Drosophila melanogaster: one gene and its partners. The protein of the gene in region 2 binds, or shares a complex with, the protein of the main gene of each other region. Each region holds a gene or a part of one and is shown on either strand. Other genes may lie near its edges.

The links. Proteins that work in one complex are often made in the same cells at the same time.
Region 1: Smn (region 2) and Glos share a complex: the UniProt entries of both Drosophila melanogaster proteins name them as parts of the core survival motor neuron (SMN) complex.
Region 3: Smn (region 2) and Gem4b share a complex: the UniProt entries of both Drosophila melanogaster proteins name them as parts of the core survival motor neuron (SMN) complex.

What each region holds. Positions count from the first base shown.
Region 1 is NC_004354.4:3,934,704-3,941,082, reverse strand, and holds Glos (gaulos), read right to left. Parts: upstream 4,567-6,379; 5' UTR 4,262-4,566; coding exon 4,144-4,261; intron 4,091-4,143; coding exon 1,928-4,090; intron 1,869-1,927; coding exon 1,414-1,868; 3' UTR 501-1,413; downstream 1-500. Other genes in the region: Gem4b (gemin 4b), read right to left, coding at 1-23; CG2938 (uncharacterized protein), read left to right, coding at 5,086-5,353, 5,727-5,823, 5,904-6,379. UniProt on the Drosophila melanogaster protein: Component of the survival motor neuron (SMN) complex that catalyzes the assembly of small nuclear ribonucleoproteins (snRNPs), the building blocks of the spliceosome, and thereby plays an important role in the splicing of cellular pre-mRNAs.
Region 2 is NT_037436.4:16,579,898-16,583,449, forward strand, and holds Smn (survival motor neuron), read right to left. Parts: upstream 1,651-3,552; 5' UTR 1,555-1,650; intron 1,491-1,554; 5' UTR 1,286-1,490; coding exon 605-1,285; 3' UTR 501-604; downstream 1-500. Other genes in the region: Rpn12 (regulatory particle non-ATPase 12), read left to right, coding at 3,203-3,552. UniProt on the Drosophila melanogaster protein: Core component of the survival motor neuron (SMN) complex that plays an essential role in spliceosomal small nuclear ribonucleoprotein (snRNP) assembly in the cytoplasm, is required for pre-mRNA splicing in the nucleus and acts as a chaperone that discriminates target and non-target RNAs of Sm proteins.
Region 3 is NC_004354.4:3,939,204-3,944,765, reverse strand, and holds Gem4b (gemin 4b), read right to left. Parts: upstream 3,920-5,562; 5' UTR 3,707-3,919; coding exon 3,589-3,706; intron 3,536-3,588; coding exon 1,373-3,535; intron 1,314-1,372; coding exon 859-1,313; 3' UTR 501-858; downstream 1-500. Other genes in the region: Glos (gaulos), read right to left, coding at 5,097-5,551. UniProt on the Drosophila melanogaster protein: Component of the survival motor neuron (SMN) complex that catalyzes the assembly of small nuclear ribonucleoproteins (snRNPs), the building blocks of the spliceosome, and thereby plays an important role in the splicing of cellular pre-mRNAs.

The DNA.
Region 1 (6,379 bases), on a different chromosome or scaffold from region 2:
GGGTGCTTCTCAGCAGTTATCATCGTGCTGCCGAAATTTCGCGTTTCGTCAAAACTCTTCCGAAGGAATTCAATTTTATGTGCGTCTTCTGTCAGATGACTATCGAAAATCGATAGTTTACCGGTGCGTACCGATTATCTTGCGTGCAAGGAATATTTTTTGAAAATGAAAATGTCCCTACAACAAAAAATTTCGCTTTGTAATAGACTCTCTGATGTAGATAGATACTAATATGACTTGTCCACTGCATGCTATGATTTAACTTTAACTTTATTTATAAACATTTTCATATGATATTTTGTATTTTGCTCAGCTGAAAATTAAATGAAGATATTTTATAAAGTATTGTAATGTATTATTCGATAATTAATTATTTGTATTATTATTGTAATGTTTTATTCGATAATTAATAATTGACATTATAAATATTGCGACTTCTCCAAAGTCAACTGCAGTTTTTTAAACAGTGGTCCTATTTAGCAAAAGTATTTAAAATAATGCGATTCGCATGCGGCACTTGAGTTTGAAATCGAGAGATAGATTTGGAATTCGTACATAAGAATACGAATAATAATAAGAACATGCTAAATTACAATAATTTCAAGCTTGCCAAAGTATTTATTTAATAGACAAAAAACTTGATGGTAGTATCCGCGCGTTCTAACGCACTGTCTCTCTTCTTTAGACGCCGTTCCGATTGCGCGGCCGCCTCCTGACGGCTCGACTCGCGCCCGTACTCTCCTCGACTATCCTCGCGTACGTGTGGCTCCTCGCGTGTTGTGACTGACTGCCCCAAGCTGCACTTGCGCCGTTCCTTTATAGGCCGCGGGGATCCCGTTATTTTCCCCTTTGCGCGTCCAACTAATTTGCCGTTAGTTCACAATGTGTGTCCTCTTGTGCGTGTCCAAAGTCCGCACCGTTACTGTTCGACCTCCGTGCCCTTGGCAGGCTCGAGTCCAAGGTCCAGCGCGGTACCGTTAGTTCACAGTCTCTCCGCTTTCCTGGCGTCCAAGGCCGCTCCCCTGCACCCAGATTTGTGGGGACGTAGACTCCTCACACATATTATTCTGATGTTCGATCATAGCGTTTTGTATTTTATATATGTATGTATGTATATAATACATAATTATACGAATAATATGAAGAACATGCAAAATTGCAATAGTTTTCATCTGAATAACTTCACTTGCTTGCCAAAGTATTTTTTAAATAGACAAAAAATTTGCAAGGCAGTAGTACATATGTTATGTGCATACAGTCATCCTTTTAAAGGACATACAAAATTGTAAAATAATCTGATATCTGGATTGAACATCATCCTAGCGTTATGATTATTATATATGTACGTCTTTAGTCGATTAGCGGCGGTGTTTCGATTTGGCTTAAGAAAATTACACTTCTAACAGCATCTCCTTAACACTTGGCCGCCTGCTGTTCCTGGATATTTATGCCGAATCGCACAGCGAAGGCTTTACTAGCTAGCTCCATAATCTCGTTGCGAATGGAGAATGGAGCCTTGGCCACAACGGCCATCAAATGATCCCAATGCTGGCGCTTCGTGATGGTCTTATTGTGTTTGGCGTGGCTCCGGAAGGCGATCAAATATTCTCGAAATAGGAATCTAAAGGCCATGAAAGCGGACTCGCTGTTCACCTTGACCACTGCATCGCTAAGATCGCCCATAACAGCACAATCGGCCCTTTTTTTAAGGAGCTTGTTGAAGAGATCGTTAGCCTCCTGTGCACTGGACTGAGTTAGCAATTTGAGAAAGGAGCGTGTGTCCTTTAAGGTGTCTTCTTTAAGGTAGATGATCCAAAAGTCCTTGTGCTTCAATTTGCTCACTTGGTTTAAGATCCTCTGGCGGAATTCTGTGAAAGAGCAATAATTAGTAGGCTTTCGTCTTGGACTTACATTTATAAGAGCGCACCAGTGCCTAGGAATGTCAGATGAGACAGACCGTCCTGCCAATACCACACCGCCAGTTCTAAATTATCCACCCGGAAATCTTCAAAGGTGGCCAAGTCCCAGCGTAGGGCATCAATGGTTTTCATGACATGCGAGATCAGCTTCCAGTGTTTCAAACGCCACTCTGGCAAACTGGCATGCAGATATGTGTAGTGCTTGGCCACCTTGACAGCTGGTGCATCGTCTCCGTTCTCCAATTTCGGGTGCTCCTTTTCGAGTGCATTTAACTCTGCAGTGCCTCGGGTGATTAGATTGCTTTCACCCAGACTAATCTGCTTGAGCAGTTTCAAGATTAACTGCAAGCTGGGCAAGTTCATGGGCTCTATAAACTTGGCCAAACCGTAGGCACACGCGTCTAGGAACCTATTTTGCGCCTGCCTAAGCTCATCCTCTCCGTAGGGACACCGTCCGTCTTTCAAACTAACGCACAGTTGTCGCGCTGACGTGTAGAGACCGTTGAGGATCTGTCGGTGGCCATATAGGTAGAGTGTAAACTGCAAGGCATACGGCTTTTGAAGTAGTTGCTCGTTCACCAAGATGTTATCGGCACAGGCGGAAATATGAAAAGCAGCATGCTTGGGACAAGACTGAGCTATGTGCCAGAATAGCTTCGAGAAGCGAGTATGCGTCACGCCCAAGTGGGAGAAATCAATCCAGGTCTGTCTTGCGTTCTCAAAGCACAGTACTAAAAATTCGGTTATCGGGAAGCGCTTATTATAATCCAATTGATTAAAGAAGCGTATGCGACGCTCCCGATGATCGGGAGCCTTGAAATTAAATCCTTGGGTAACGTTTTGCTCATCGCGTAATAGCAGTACTTCCATCTTGTCCTCGACATTTAATTGCATAAATAAGGGACGCAGTACTAGGCTTAGCAGCTCTTCGTAATCATCGTTGGACGAGGTCTCGTCCTCGTCGTCCCCCTGATTTACTTCCGTAACGGATATGCCCTCGTCCTCGACCACCATTTCGGACTCCACCACCTGACCCAGGAAACTGAGTATTATCTGGGCATGTTTCTTGGTGAGCATAATTAAATGATTTGCCATCGTTTCCAGGCACTCATCGCTGCCAAAGGCTATGAAGCGGCTAAAGAGATTGTCCAGCCCGGCGAGCAACTCCTCATTGGTGGCCATACCGGAATCGATAAAGGCCAAGAGTTCACCGATTCTCATCTCGGCAACGCGCTGCTCCAATGTTTTTGCTGCATCCGCAAAGCTCTGCATCTGCTTGCAAACCGGATGCTCTCCGAGCAACTTATCTGATTGGAGTACTTTAAGCAATTCTGCCGTCTGTCTACAGATTAGCTCCTGGCAGTTATACAAAGCACTTTTCGATTTCATTTCATGCCAATACATATACGTGTCTACGCTAACGAGCTGAAAGATACGCTGCAGAACGTCTAGCAGTATTTGGGCGAAATGCCGCAGATCAGGCATGGGATCGCTTGAGTTGCTGTCACTGATGTCCTCGGTTATTTGGCTGTAGACGGCGAAGCAATTTGGTTTCTCCCGCTTTAATGGATCATTGAGGGTATACAAAAGGACTTCTATAAGGTGATCCATAGCCTTGGCCAGGTAAATCTTTCGAGTGGATGGACGCGGCAGCGTATGGAGGCGCTGTTTAGAGTCCAAGATATGACGATGTTCCATGCAGGCTATCTGGCGCAGCAGTTGCTTATTTTCTGCGGGCAAATTGCAGTTGACAATTGCGCGACCGGCTGCTCTGAGGGCGGCAGAGAGCAGCGGTAGTGTTTCCACGCAATCTGAATTAATGACCGACAGAGCCTCATTGAATGCCTCAAAATACTGGATGGTCAGCCAGCGGGGTCCACAAGCAAGGAATTCCTCCAGCGGCTCCATGAGACAGCAGTTAACGGCTATTGCGATGGTCAAGAACAGTGGGATAGGCGGCAGCTGGTTACACAAATGCATGACATTGGCGCTCCACTGCGATTCGCACTGGATATCATCGTGTGCAGTGTTCAGCACCAGGTACACCAGTAGTCCACGCAGGTGATTCATAGCACAAGGATCCATTGTGTCTGGCGGCTGTATGATTAGATCGTGCTCCACCAGCAGGTCCGTCACTTGGTCGCAGATCTTCGCAATGTGCTCATCGTTTCCTGAGAACAAACAATGTTCATATTTGGGCACTAACCTCTGGTACTTCACTTACCACTCCAGTAAATCATGTCCTTCAGACGCTGGACCTTCTCGTTGTAGTCATGAAATAACTTCTTCAGCTGGACAAACAATTGGCAATTGTCCAGCGGGTGCTTCTTAGCAGTTATCATAGTGCTGCCGAAACTTCGCGTTTTGTCAAAACTTTTCCGAACGAATTCAATTTTATGTGCGTCTTCTCGTCAGATGACTATCCAAAATCGATAGTTGCGTACCACTTATCTTGCGTGCGAAGAATATTTTTTGAAAATGAAAATGTCCCGAATACAAAAATTTCGCTTTGTTATGGACTCTCTGATGTAGATTTATTCCTATTTATTTAACTTTATTTCTAATTTTTTTCCTATGATATGTAAATATTTTTAGCTGAAAAATAAATTAAGTATTGTAGTGCCTTATTCGATAATTAATAATTGATATTATTAACGATCCTCCCTTTCGACAGGAATGCTGAGAGATCATCTGTTCGTTATCGATAGTCTTGTATTGCGTTGGAGGGCAATAGACGCGGCTGCCTAACGGCCGGCAAAGCAAAAGCTAATGCTTAAATGGTAAAAAAATAAATGTATATTTGCTATAAAGTATAGTATTGTGTTTTTCGAAATTTGATAATTGATATTATTAACGATCTTTCCCGTTCGCCCACAATGCAGACAAATCAGCTGTTCGGTGTCGATAGTTTTGTGTTGTGGGTGGCGGTCGATAGACGCGGTTGTCTATCGGCCGGCGAAGCAAAAGCTAAAGGAAAGTAAAATAAAAGCCAAGCAAGAGCGAAACAGCAAGCGATAGGAGGAGTCGGTCGCTGCCTAAGGAACAAGCGGAACTGGGTTAAAACATGCCCATGCAATAGGCCAAATTATCTATATTATAGGCCAGACTTTCCGTCGCAGACCGTTTGGTGGTGGCGGTGGAGAAGGCGGCAGACGGCTTATAAATTATGGAGCTACGCGAACTGCGCGGTGGAAATGGTGGAAGCGTAGGAGGCATTGGAGCAGCTACAACCGGAACCCCCGGAGTGTCAGTGAATGGAGCCCCTAGTCCCGAACTAGGCGGCATCTGCATTGGAGGCGCCGCCGGAGGACAGCGTATGCCCACCAGAGCGGATATATTTATGGAACAACTAAACGCCACCAATGCCAAGAAGGTGGCTTTGCTTCTGGTCCTCGGCTTCATCGTCTATCACGGCCTGCTCAACTGGAAATACGGTGGGTCCAAGGTTACAAGATCTTTAAAGATCTAAGTACTATGAAATTTATAATGGATGTGGATACGGAATCGTACCCATTTTAAGATCACAATTGTATACCAATGTTCACTTATTCTTCTCATATTATTAATGAGTCAGTTTGACGTTTGACCATATTCGGTACATTTTAAATAGTAAAAAAGGTTTTTACAAACTTTTAATCTCAAACGTTTATGTAAATATAGATAATCATGTCGAATTTTAAGATTAGTGTACAAATTCTGCAGTTGGTTGGATTAATATAAACGACATGTAAAGTTCATATTTGGGATGTTGGCTGCCATCGTATGCTTATTATGGATATTGATTTGTTTTGTTTTGTTCTCCCGCAGGCAGTGACTCCTGCCAGTGGCTGCTGTCCAAGGGCCGATTTAAGGGCGACAACGAGTGGCAGCCGTACGGTTGCATGGTGCACAAGTACTCCCTCACGTGAGTAATCAACGCACATTCCCGACAAGATAACCCCCCAATTAATGAGTCACCCAAACCGAAATTCTCATTATTTACAGTGACACAAGGCGCTGTTTGCGTTACCTCGCCTTCTTCGACAACAAGAACAACTTTGTGTTCATTGGCGACGAGAGTATACGGCTGCTCTACGAACGATTTGTGGAGCAACTTCGCCTGCCATTGGCCGCGGATGAAATGGCCGACGAGGAGGACAATAACGCCTCGGTGACTGATGGCTCAGCCCGTTTCGAGGACAAGAAGCTGCATATGCTGGCCCAGTACATTCGGGCGGAGGAGGTGAGTCCGTCGCTTGTGGAGCAACTGTACCGTCTGGAGTCTGAGAAGCAGCTGTCCTCTGTGTACGTTGTGGGCTTCACCTATGCCGGCTTGCTCGCTGGCAACACCACAGACGATGTGCTGCGGCAATATGCCGCCAATCTTACATTGCTGGTGGCTCCGTTTCATCGCCTGGTGGCGCAAACTTCGCGGGTCCTCTGGAAGCTAGCAGACCGCGTGGACGAGGAGAAATTGCCCG
Region 2 (3,552 bases):
TGCAAAAGAGAAGGATTTACCACTTATATTTCAAATCGTAAGCCTGTGAAAATAAAGGATGCATTTGGCAGTGTTGAATATGGACGGTTAAAAGGTCCAAGCGCATTTTTAGCTAGTTTGTTAATTAGGCAATACTACCATGTACTCTCTTTATCATTATATCTTATTTTTTATCAATAAAATTTTTCAGCTTCTGATTTTAAAACAGCTACACGATACCCAAAGTTAAAGAAATCTATTGCAGTGTAAGAAAGTCTGCTTACCAATCAAAATATCCGTTTTTTTTCTTTTCTGATTTGTATACTGCCAGCTAAAATATCGCCATTCTACGATCTATCGAAGGTTATGAAAATTCCGTTATACTACAAACTCAACCGCTCGCTACGAAATGTATCGAAGCACTGATTTTCTCAAGTGGCCATATTGAATGTCAACCTAAATTTCTGCCTGCCTCGGCATTTTTTTTTTCCATTTATGTAGCAATTGAAACGAGATCCCACCATGACGATACTGACTCTTTAATATAATAAATTTAATCGTTCTGTTTTCTTAATATCTACAAGTCTTTCGAAAAGATGTGATGTGATGATGAGATAAGATGGAATTACTTCTTGGGTGTCTTTTTCTTTCCGCTAGTGGTGCTGGCTTCTTTCTTTCCCTGGTAGAGGCCCGTATAATAGCCGGACATGTACCAGGCGGTGAGCATGGCCACGAAGTCCTGTTCGGCGCCGTCCCCTTGTCCGACAATCATGGGCGGTACTGGTGGCATGGGCGGCATAACCAGTCCGCCAGAGATCCTACTCCTTCTGGATGACTTGGGAGTCTTTGAATGACTACCAGCGGATGCCTTAGGGCGGCTCAACTGCTCGTCCTCATCCTTCTTGGCGATAAGGAACTGCTCGCGACGCACACGCTTGCCCCAGGACGGCAGGAGGTCCACGAGCAACACCTCCTGCTCGTTCTCATAGCCCAAATAGCGGAGTACGCAGGTGCCCTTCTCCTCGTTAATAGACACCACAGCGCCCTCGTAGTCCACACCATCCACGTAGGTGGCCCTGGCGTAGTCGCCTACTTTGAAGGATACTGGTTCCGGGCTGGTAGCCCCACCAGTGGCCGAGATCTCGCCAGCTTCTTCTTCAGCTGCGGCAGCGTTCTCCTCCTCGCGCTTGTTGGTGGAATCGGCGAGGCGGCGGGCCAAAGCTTCGCGGGCCAGTCCCACCGACTCGTCGTACGTCTTCACCAGCAAGGAGTCATCCCACACCGCGGCGTTCGTCTCGTCGGACATCTCGGCTTTCTATCCTATCAGGCAAGTATCACGTTTTTAAAGGAAGAACCAAGTTTCGCTTTTATGCGAATTTGCTGTGTGTTGGAAAGCGCAGGCGAATCACCGCTTAGCAGCACAGGCCGAAACATGAAACTATCGCTAAAAGGTGTACATTCAAACTAAGATGTGATAAAATTTATGAAGTCATTCTGGGTATTATATTATTCTGAAAGCGAACGAAATGGTTAAGAAATATTTAAATTCAGTAAAGCTGAAAAAAGTTTTCATACTTTGTGGCCAACATTCACAATGCAATCAGAATACTTCCAATGTAATTGTATTGTATTTATTGTTTTAATTGAAGTCTTCTTTTTATACTTTCCACTAAAAATACTTTATTGTGAGTGGTGTTGTACCTATCGTCCCCATTAACCGCACGATAGTATCGATACTTATCAGCATGCATCTTTAACACAATAAACAAACAATAAATTGATCGATCCGACCTGAAAGCGAGATCGCTAAATTTTTTAACTCAATTTCGGAGGTATGGAGTTGGGGTTGGTGTGCCGAATTTGCCTCGGGCAATGTGAAAACGAGTTCAATATTTTTGAAGTTAAGCACGGCACTGAAGCTTCAATAGCGTCAATCATTTCCGAGTGCACTGGCCTCAAAGTGGAAAAAGGCGATCATCTACCCGAAACATTTTGCACCTCCTGCTGCCAAGATGCACAAAATGCGTTCGAGTTTAGAAAAACCCACCAGAGGAGCTAATAATTTTACGTTTAGTTAATGGAGGAATCCCGATTCCGCAAGGTATCTTATTCCGAGGATGGGGAATCGAGTATCGATGGAGGTGCTTTTCAGCATTTTGTCGAACTCGAAAGTGTAGTTGAAGATTGGCGAGGCAGTGGCATGATCCAATGGGAATGTTGTCTAGTGTAGAACGAGCCTCTTTAAAGACGATGATCAGTTCGTGGACTGTGACAGCGATCAATCCAATAGCCAAGTCAATATTGAGGTAATAGACGAAGACTATGATAGTTGTGAAAACCATAGATTGCAAAATAAAGGACGTGATAATGATAAGCTGCTTCAATGTCCTCATTGCCCAACGAGGTTTTGGATAAACTCAGCACTTAAGCAGCACTTGCTGCTTAGCAGCAAAGGCTTTGAAGAGCGTATCGCATCTTTCGGGACATATTGCAATACACACTGAAAAACGGTGCCCCCATTGTACATCGAATTTTACGCTGGCTTCCAATCTTAAAAGGCATCTAATAATCAACACAGGCGAACGCCCCTTCAAGTGCTCCCAATGTCCTAAGGCGTTTTACCCAGAATGCGCATCTTCGAATTCACATGATGAGCCACACAGGAGAGCGACCGTTCCCATGCACCAAGTGCTCCAAAAGCTATTTCACGAACACGCAACTGCGGTACCATCTAAAGACCCACAAAGAATGAGAGTTCTGAATCGCTTAATAATTTAAGTTATTCTTGACACAAAACTTATGCCCAAGGTCAAATAGACGTGATTTCAATACCCGAAATTTTTAACTATACTGAGACAATCACTAATTGAATAAACAGTCCGAGCTTAAATGCGAAAATTTAGATTTAAACTCCATTAGATAGTTTGTTAAAATATATCGATATTAAAGCACAAAGGAAATACAATACCCCTTGGATCAAATCATAAAGCTTTCAGTTGTAAACTGTTAAACTATATAGAGTTCGTCTAAAAAATGTATTTTTCAACTTAAACTTACACTTAAATAATATTCCCAGCCCTGTGGTAACTTGACAATCGATAACTGTTCCGATAACGATTGTCCTATCGCTTTACCCTACAACAATTGCCATCTCTAAAAAAAAGCGAAAATCATCTTGGGAATTTGCAGAAAACATTTAAGCTTCAATATACCAATCTAAAGAATGGCCAACGTGGAATCGCTGTACAAAGAACTGACCGCCGAGTGGTCAAAGCGGCCACCAAACACCGTCAAATGCGGCCAGCTGCTGGATCAACTGAAAGTAGCGCTCGTGAAGATGGCCTTCCTGCCGACGGACGGAAACGATGCCCAGAGCTCCAAGAAGCAATTGATCCTGGCTAGGAGCGTGCTTGAGGTGGCCGTGGAGCATAGCGTGCTCAGCAAGGACCTGCTCGCCTTCGAGCGCTACATGGCGCAGCTGAAGTGCTATTACTATGACTACGCTAAGATCATTGGCGAATCGGAGAGCAAGTATAAGCTGCTCGGTCTGAATCTGCTGTACCTCTTGTCTGG
Region 3 (5,562 bases), on a different chromosome or scaffold from region 2:
GCATTTGAGTTTGAAATCTTTTCGATACTTGTCAAGCATTGGTCGTTAAATTACCTTGTAAAATATATATAGTGTTTTTTAAGACAAGATATTTTTTCTATTTTTTTTTTTATTTAGGTAATTTGAAAATGTTATTAATAACAATTTGCACCAAAATTTTCCTTTCCCTGAATAATGCCATTCAGCTTTTGACAGAATATAAATTAGTTAAATTTATAACATAACGAGTACATGAAATTTAAAAATGTATTAAAATAAATTTTCCTAGTTTTAAGTTACAATTTTGCAACAGGAAGCAAAGCAGTCGAAGTAATACATAAAAATACGAATAAAAATAAGAACATGCAAAATTACAATAATTTTAAGCTTGCCAAAGCATTTATTTAATAGAACACAAATTTGTATTTGATGGTAGTATTACATATTTTATGTAAATATAGTCGGCCTTAAGGACACACAAAGTTGTAAAATAACCTGATATCAAATTATTCTGATGTTCAATCATAGCGTTTTGTATATTATATATATAATACATAATAATACGAAAAAAAAAGAACATGCAAAATTTTATTAATTTTCAGCTGAATAACTTCACTTGCTTGCCAAAGTATTTTTAGTAAGACAAAAAATTTGCATGGTAGTGGTACATTTGTTATGTGCATACAGTCGCCCTTTTAAAGGACATACAAAGTTGTAAAATAATCTGATATCAAATTATTCTGATGTTCAATCCTAGCGTTATGAATATTATATATGTTTTTAGTCATATAGAGATCTGACTGCCTAAGAATTAAAGTGTTGGACAAGCGGCGGAATTTCGATTTGGCTTAAGAAAATTACACTTCTAACAGCATCTCCTTAACACTTGGCCGCCTGCTGTTCCTGGATATTTATGCCGAATCGCACAGCGAAGGCTTTACTAGCTAGCTTCATAATCTCGTTGCGAATGGAGAATGGAGCCTTGGCCACAACGGCCATCAAATGATCCCAATGCTGGCGCTTCGTGATGGTCTTATTGTGTTTGGCGTGGCTCCGGAAGGCGATCAAATATTCTCGAAATAGGAATCTAAAGGCCATGAAAGCGGACTCGCTGTTCACCTTGACCACTGCATCGCTAAGATCGCCCATAACAGCACAATCGGCCCTTTTTTTAAGGAGCTTGTTGAAGAGATCGTTAGCCTCCTGTGCACTGGACTGAGTTAGCAATTTGAGAAAGGAGCGTGTGTCCTTTAAGGTGTCTTCTTTAAGGTAGATGAGCCAAAAGCCCTTGTGCTTTAAACTGTTCACTTGGTTCAAGATCCTCTGGCGGCATTCTGTGAAAGAGCAATAATTAGTAGGCTTTCGTCTTGGACTTACATTTATAAGAGCGCACCAGTGCCTAGGAATGTCAGATGAGACAGACCGTCCTGCCAATACCACACCGCCAGTTCTAAATTATCCACCCGGAAATCTTCAAAGGTGGCCAAGTCCCAGCGTAGGGCATCAATGGTTTTCATGACATGCGAGATCAGCTTCCAGTGTTTCAAACGCCACTCTGGCAAGCTGGCATTCAGATATGTGTAGTGCTTGGCCACCTTGACAGCTGGTGCATCGTCTCCGTTCTCCAATTTCGGGTGCTCCTTTTCGAGTGCATTTAACTCTGCAGTGCCTCGGGTGATTAGATTGCTTTCACCCAGACTAATCTGCTTGAGCAGTTTCAAGATTAACTGCAAGCTGGGCAAGTTCATGGGCTCTATAAACTTGGCCAAACCGTAGGCACACGCGTCTAGGAACCTATTTTGCGCCTGCCTAAGCTCATCCTCTCCGTAGGGACACCGTCCGTCTTTCAAACTAACGCACAGTTGTCGCGCTGACGTGTAGAGACCGTTGAGGATCTGTCGGTGGCCATATAGGTAGAGTGTAAACTGCAAGGCATACGGCTTTTGAAGTAGTTGCTCGTTCACCAAGATGTTATCGGCACAGGCGGAAATATGAAAAGCAGCATGCTTGGGACAAGACTGAGCTATGTGCCAGAATAGCTTCGAGAAGCGAGTATGCGTCACGCCCAAGTGGGAGAAATCAATCCAGGTCTGTCTTGCGTTCTCAAAGCACAGTACTAGAAATTTGGTTATCGGGAAGCGCTTATTATAATCCAATTGATTAAAGAAGCGTATGCGACGCTCCCGATGATCGGGAGCCTTGAAATTAAATCCTTGGGTAACGTTTTGCTCATCGCGCAATAGCAGTACTTCCATCTTGTCCTCGACATTTAATTGCATAAATAAGGGACGCAGTACTAGGCTTAGCAGCTCTTCGTAATCATCGTTGGACGAGGTCTCGTCCTCGTCATCCCCCTGATTTACTTCCGTAACGGATATGCCCTCGTCCTCGACCACCATTTCGGACTCCACCACCTGACCCAGGAAACTGAGTATTATCTGGGCATGTTTCTTGGTGAGCATAATTAAATGATTTGCCATCGTTTCCACGCACTCATCGTTACCAAAGGCTATGAAGCGGCTAAAGAGATTGTCCAGCCCGGCGAGCAACTCCTCATCGGTGGCCATACCGGAATCGAGAAAGACTAAGAGTTCACCCATTCTCATCTCGGCAACGCGCTGCTCCAATGTTTTTGCTGCATCCGCAAAGCTCTGCATCTGCTTGCAAACCGGATGCTCTCCGAGCAACTTATCTGATTGGAGTACTTTAAGCAATTCTGCCGTCTGTCTACAGATTAGCTCCTGGCAGTTATACAAAGCACTTTTCGATTTCATTTCATGCCAATACATATACGTGTCTACGCTAACGAGCTGAAAGATACGCTGCAGAACGTCTAGCAGTATTTGGGCGAAATGCCGCAGATCAGGCATGGGATCGCTTGAGTTGCTGTCACTGATGTCCTCGGTTATTTGGCTGTAGACGGCGAAGCAATTTGGTTTCTCCCGCTTTAATGGATCATTGAGGGTATACAAAAGGACTTCTATAAGGTGATCCATAGCCTTGGCCAGGTAAATCTTTCGAGTGGATGGACGCGGCAGCGTATGGAGGCGCTGTTTAGAGTCCAAGATATGACGATGTTCCATGCAGGCTATCTGGCGCAGCAGTTGCTTATTTTCTGCGGGCAAATTGCAGTTGACAATTGCGCGACCGGCTGCTCTGAGGGCGGCAGAGAGCAGCGGTAGTGTTTCCACGCAATCTGAATTAATGACCGACAGAGCCTCATTGAATGCCTCAAAATACTGGATGGTCAGCCAGCGGGGTCCACAAGCAAGGAATTCCTCCAGCGGCTCCATGAGACAGCAGTTAACGGCTATTGCGATGGTCAAGAACAGTGGGATAGGCGGAAGCTGGTTACACAAATGCATGACATTGGCGCTCCACTGCGATTTGCACAAGAAATAGTCGTGTGCGGTGTTCAGCACCAGGTACACCAGTAGTCCACGCAGTTGATTCATAGCAAAAGGATCCATTGTGTCTGGCGGCTGTATGATTAGATCGTGCTCCTCCAGCAGGTCCGTCACTTGGTCGCAGATCTTCTCAATGTGCTCATCGTTTCCTGAGAACAAACAATGTTCATATTTGGGCACTAACCTCTGGTACTTCACTTACCACTCCAGTAAATCATATCTTTCAGACACTTGGCCTGTTCGTTGTTGTCATGGAATATTTTCTTCAGCTGGACAAACAACTGGCAATTGTCCAGCGGGTGCTTCTCAGCAGTTATCATCGTGCTGCCGAAATTTCGCGTTTCGTCAAAACTCTTCCGAAGGAATTCAATTTTATGTGCGTCTTCTGTCAGATGACTATCGAAAATCGATAGTTTACCGGTGCGTACCGATTATCTTGCGTGCAAGGAATATTTTTTGAAAATGAAAATGTCCCTACAACAAAAAATTTCGCTTTGTAATAGACTCTCTGATGTAGATAGATACTAATATGACTTGTCCACTGCATGCTATGATTTAACTTTAACTTTATTTATAAACATTTTCATATGATATTTTGTATTTTGCTCAGCTGAAAATTAAATGAAGATATTTTATAAAGTATTGTAATGTATTATTCGATAATTAATTATTTGTATTATTATTGTAATGTTTTATTCGATAATTAATAATTGACATTATAAATATTGCGACTTCTCCAAAGTCAACTGCAGTTTTTTAAACAGTGGTCCTATTTAGCAAAAGTATTTAAAATAATGCGATTCGCATGCGGCACTTGAGTTTGAAATCGAGAGATAGATTTGGAATTCGTACATAAGAATACGAATAATAATAAGAACATGCTAAATTACAATAATTTCAAGCTTGCCAAAGTATTTATTTAATAGACAAAAAACTTGATGGTAGTATCCGCGCGTTCTAACGCACTGTCTCTCTTCTTTAGACGCCGTTCCGATTGCGCGGCCGCCTCCTGACGGCTCGACTCGCGCCCGTACTCTCCTCGACTATCCTCGCGTACGTGTGGCTCCTCGCGTGTTGTGACTGACTGCCCCAAGCTGCACTTGCGCCGTTCCTTTATAGGCCGCGGGGATCCCGTTATTTTCCCCTTTGCGCGTCCAACTAATTTGCCGTTAGTTCACAATGTGTGTCCTCTTGTGCGTGTCCAAAGTCCGCACCGTTACTGTTCGACCTCCGTGCCCTTGGCAGGCTCGAGTCCAAGGTCCAGCGCGGTACCGTTAGTTCACAGTCTCTCCGCTTTCCTGGCGTCCAAGGCCGCTCCCCTGCACCCAGATTTGTGGGGACGTAGACTCCTCACACATATTATTCTGATGTTCGATCATAGCGTTTTGTATTTTATATATGTATGTATGTATATAATACATAATTATACGAATAATATGAAGAACATGCAAAATTGCAATAGTTTTCATCTGAATAACTTCACTTGCTTGCCAAAGTATTTTTTAAATAGACAAAAAATTTGCAAGGCAGTAGTACATATGTTATGTGCATACAGTCATCCTTTTAAAGGACATACAAAATTGTAAAATAATCTGATATCTGGATTGAACATCATCCTAGCGTTATGATTATTATATATGTACGTCTTTAGTCGATTAGCGGCGGTGTTTCGATTTGGCTTAAGAAAATTACACTTCTAACAGCATCTCCTTAACACTTGGCCGCCTGCTGTTCCTGGATATTTATGCCGAATCGCACAGCGAAGGCTTTACTAGCTAGCTCCATAATCTCGTTGCGAATGGAGAATGGAGCCTTGGCCACAACGGCCATCAAATGATCCCAATGCTGGCGCTTCGTGATGGTCTTATTGTGTTTGGCGTGGCTCCGGAAGGCGATCAAATATTCTCGAAATAGGAATCTAAAGGCCATGAAAGCGGACTCGCTGTTCACCTTGACCACTGCATCGCTAAGATCGCCCATAACAGCACAATCGGCCCTTTTTTTAAGGAGCTTGTTGAAGAGATCGTTAGCCTCCTGTGCACTGGACTGAGTTAGCAATTTGAGAAAGGAGCGTGTGTCCTTTAAGGTGTCTTCTTTAAGGTAGATGATCCAAAAGTCCTTGTGCTTCAATTTGCTCACTTGGTTTAAGATCCTCTGGCGGAATTCTGTGAAAGAG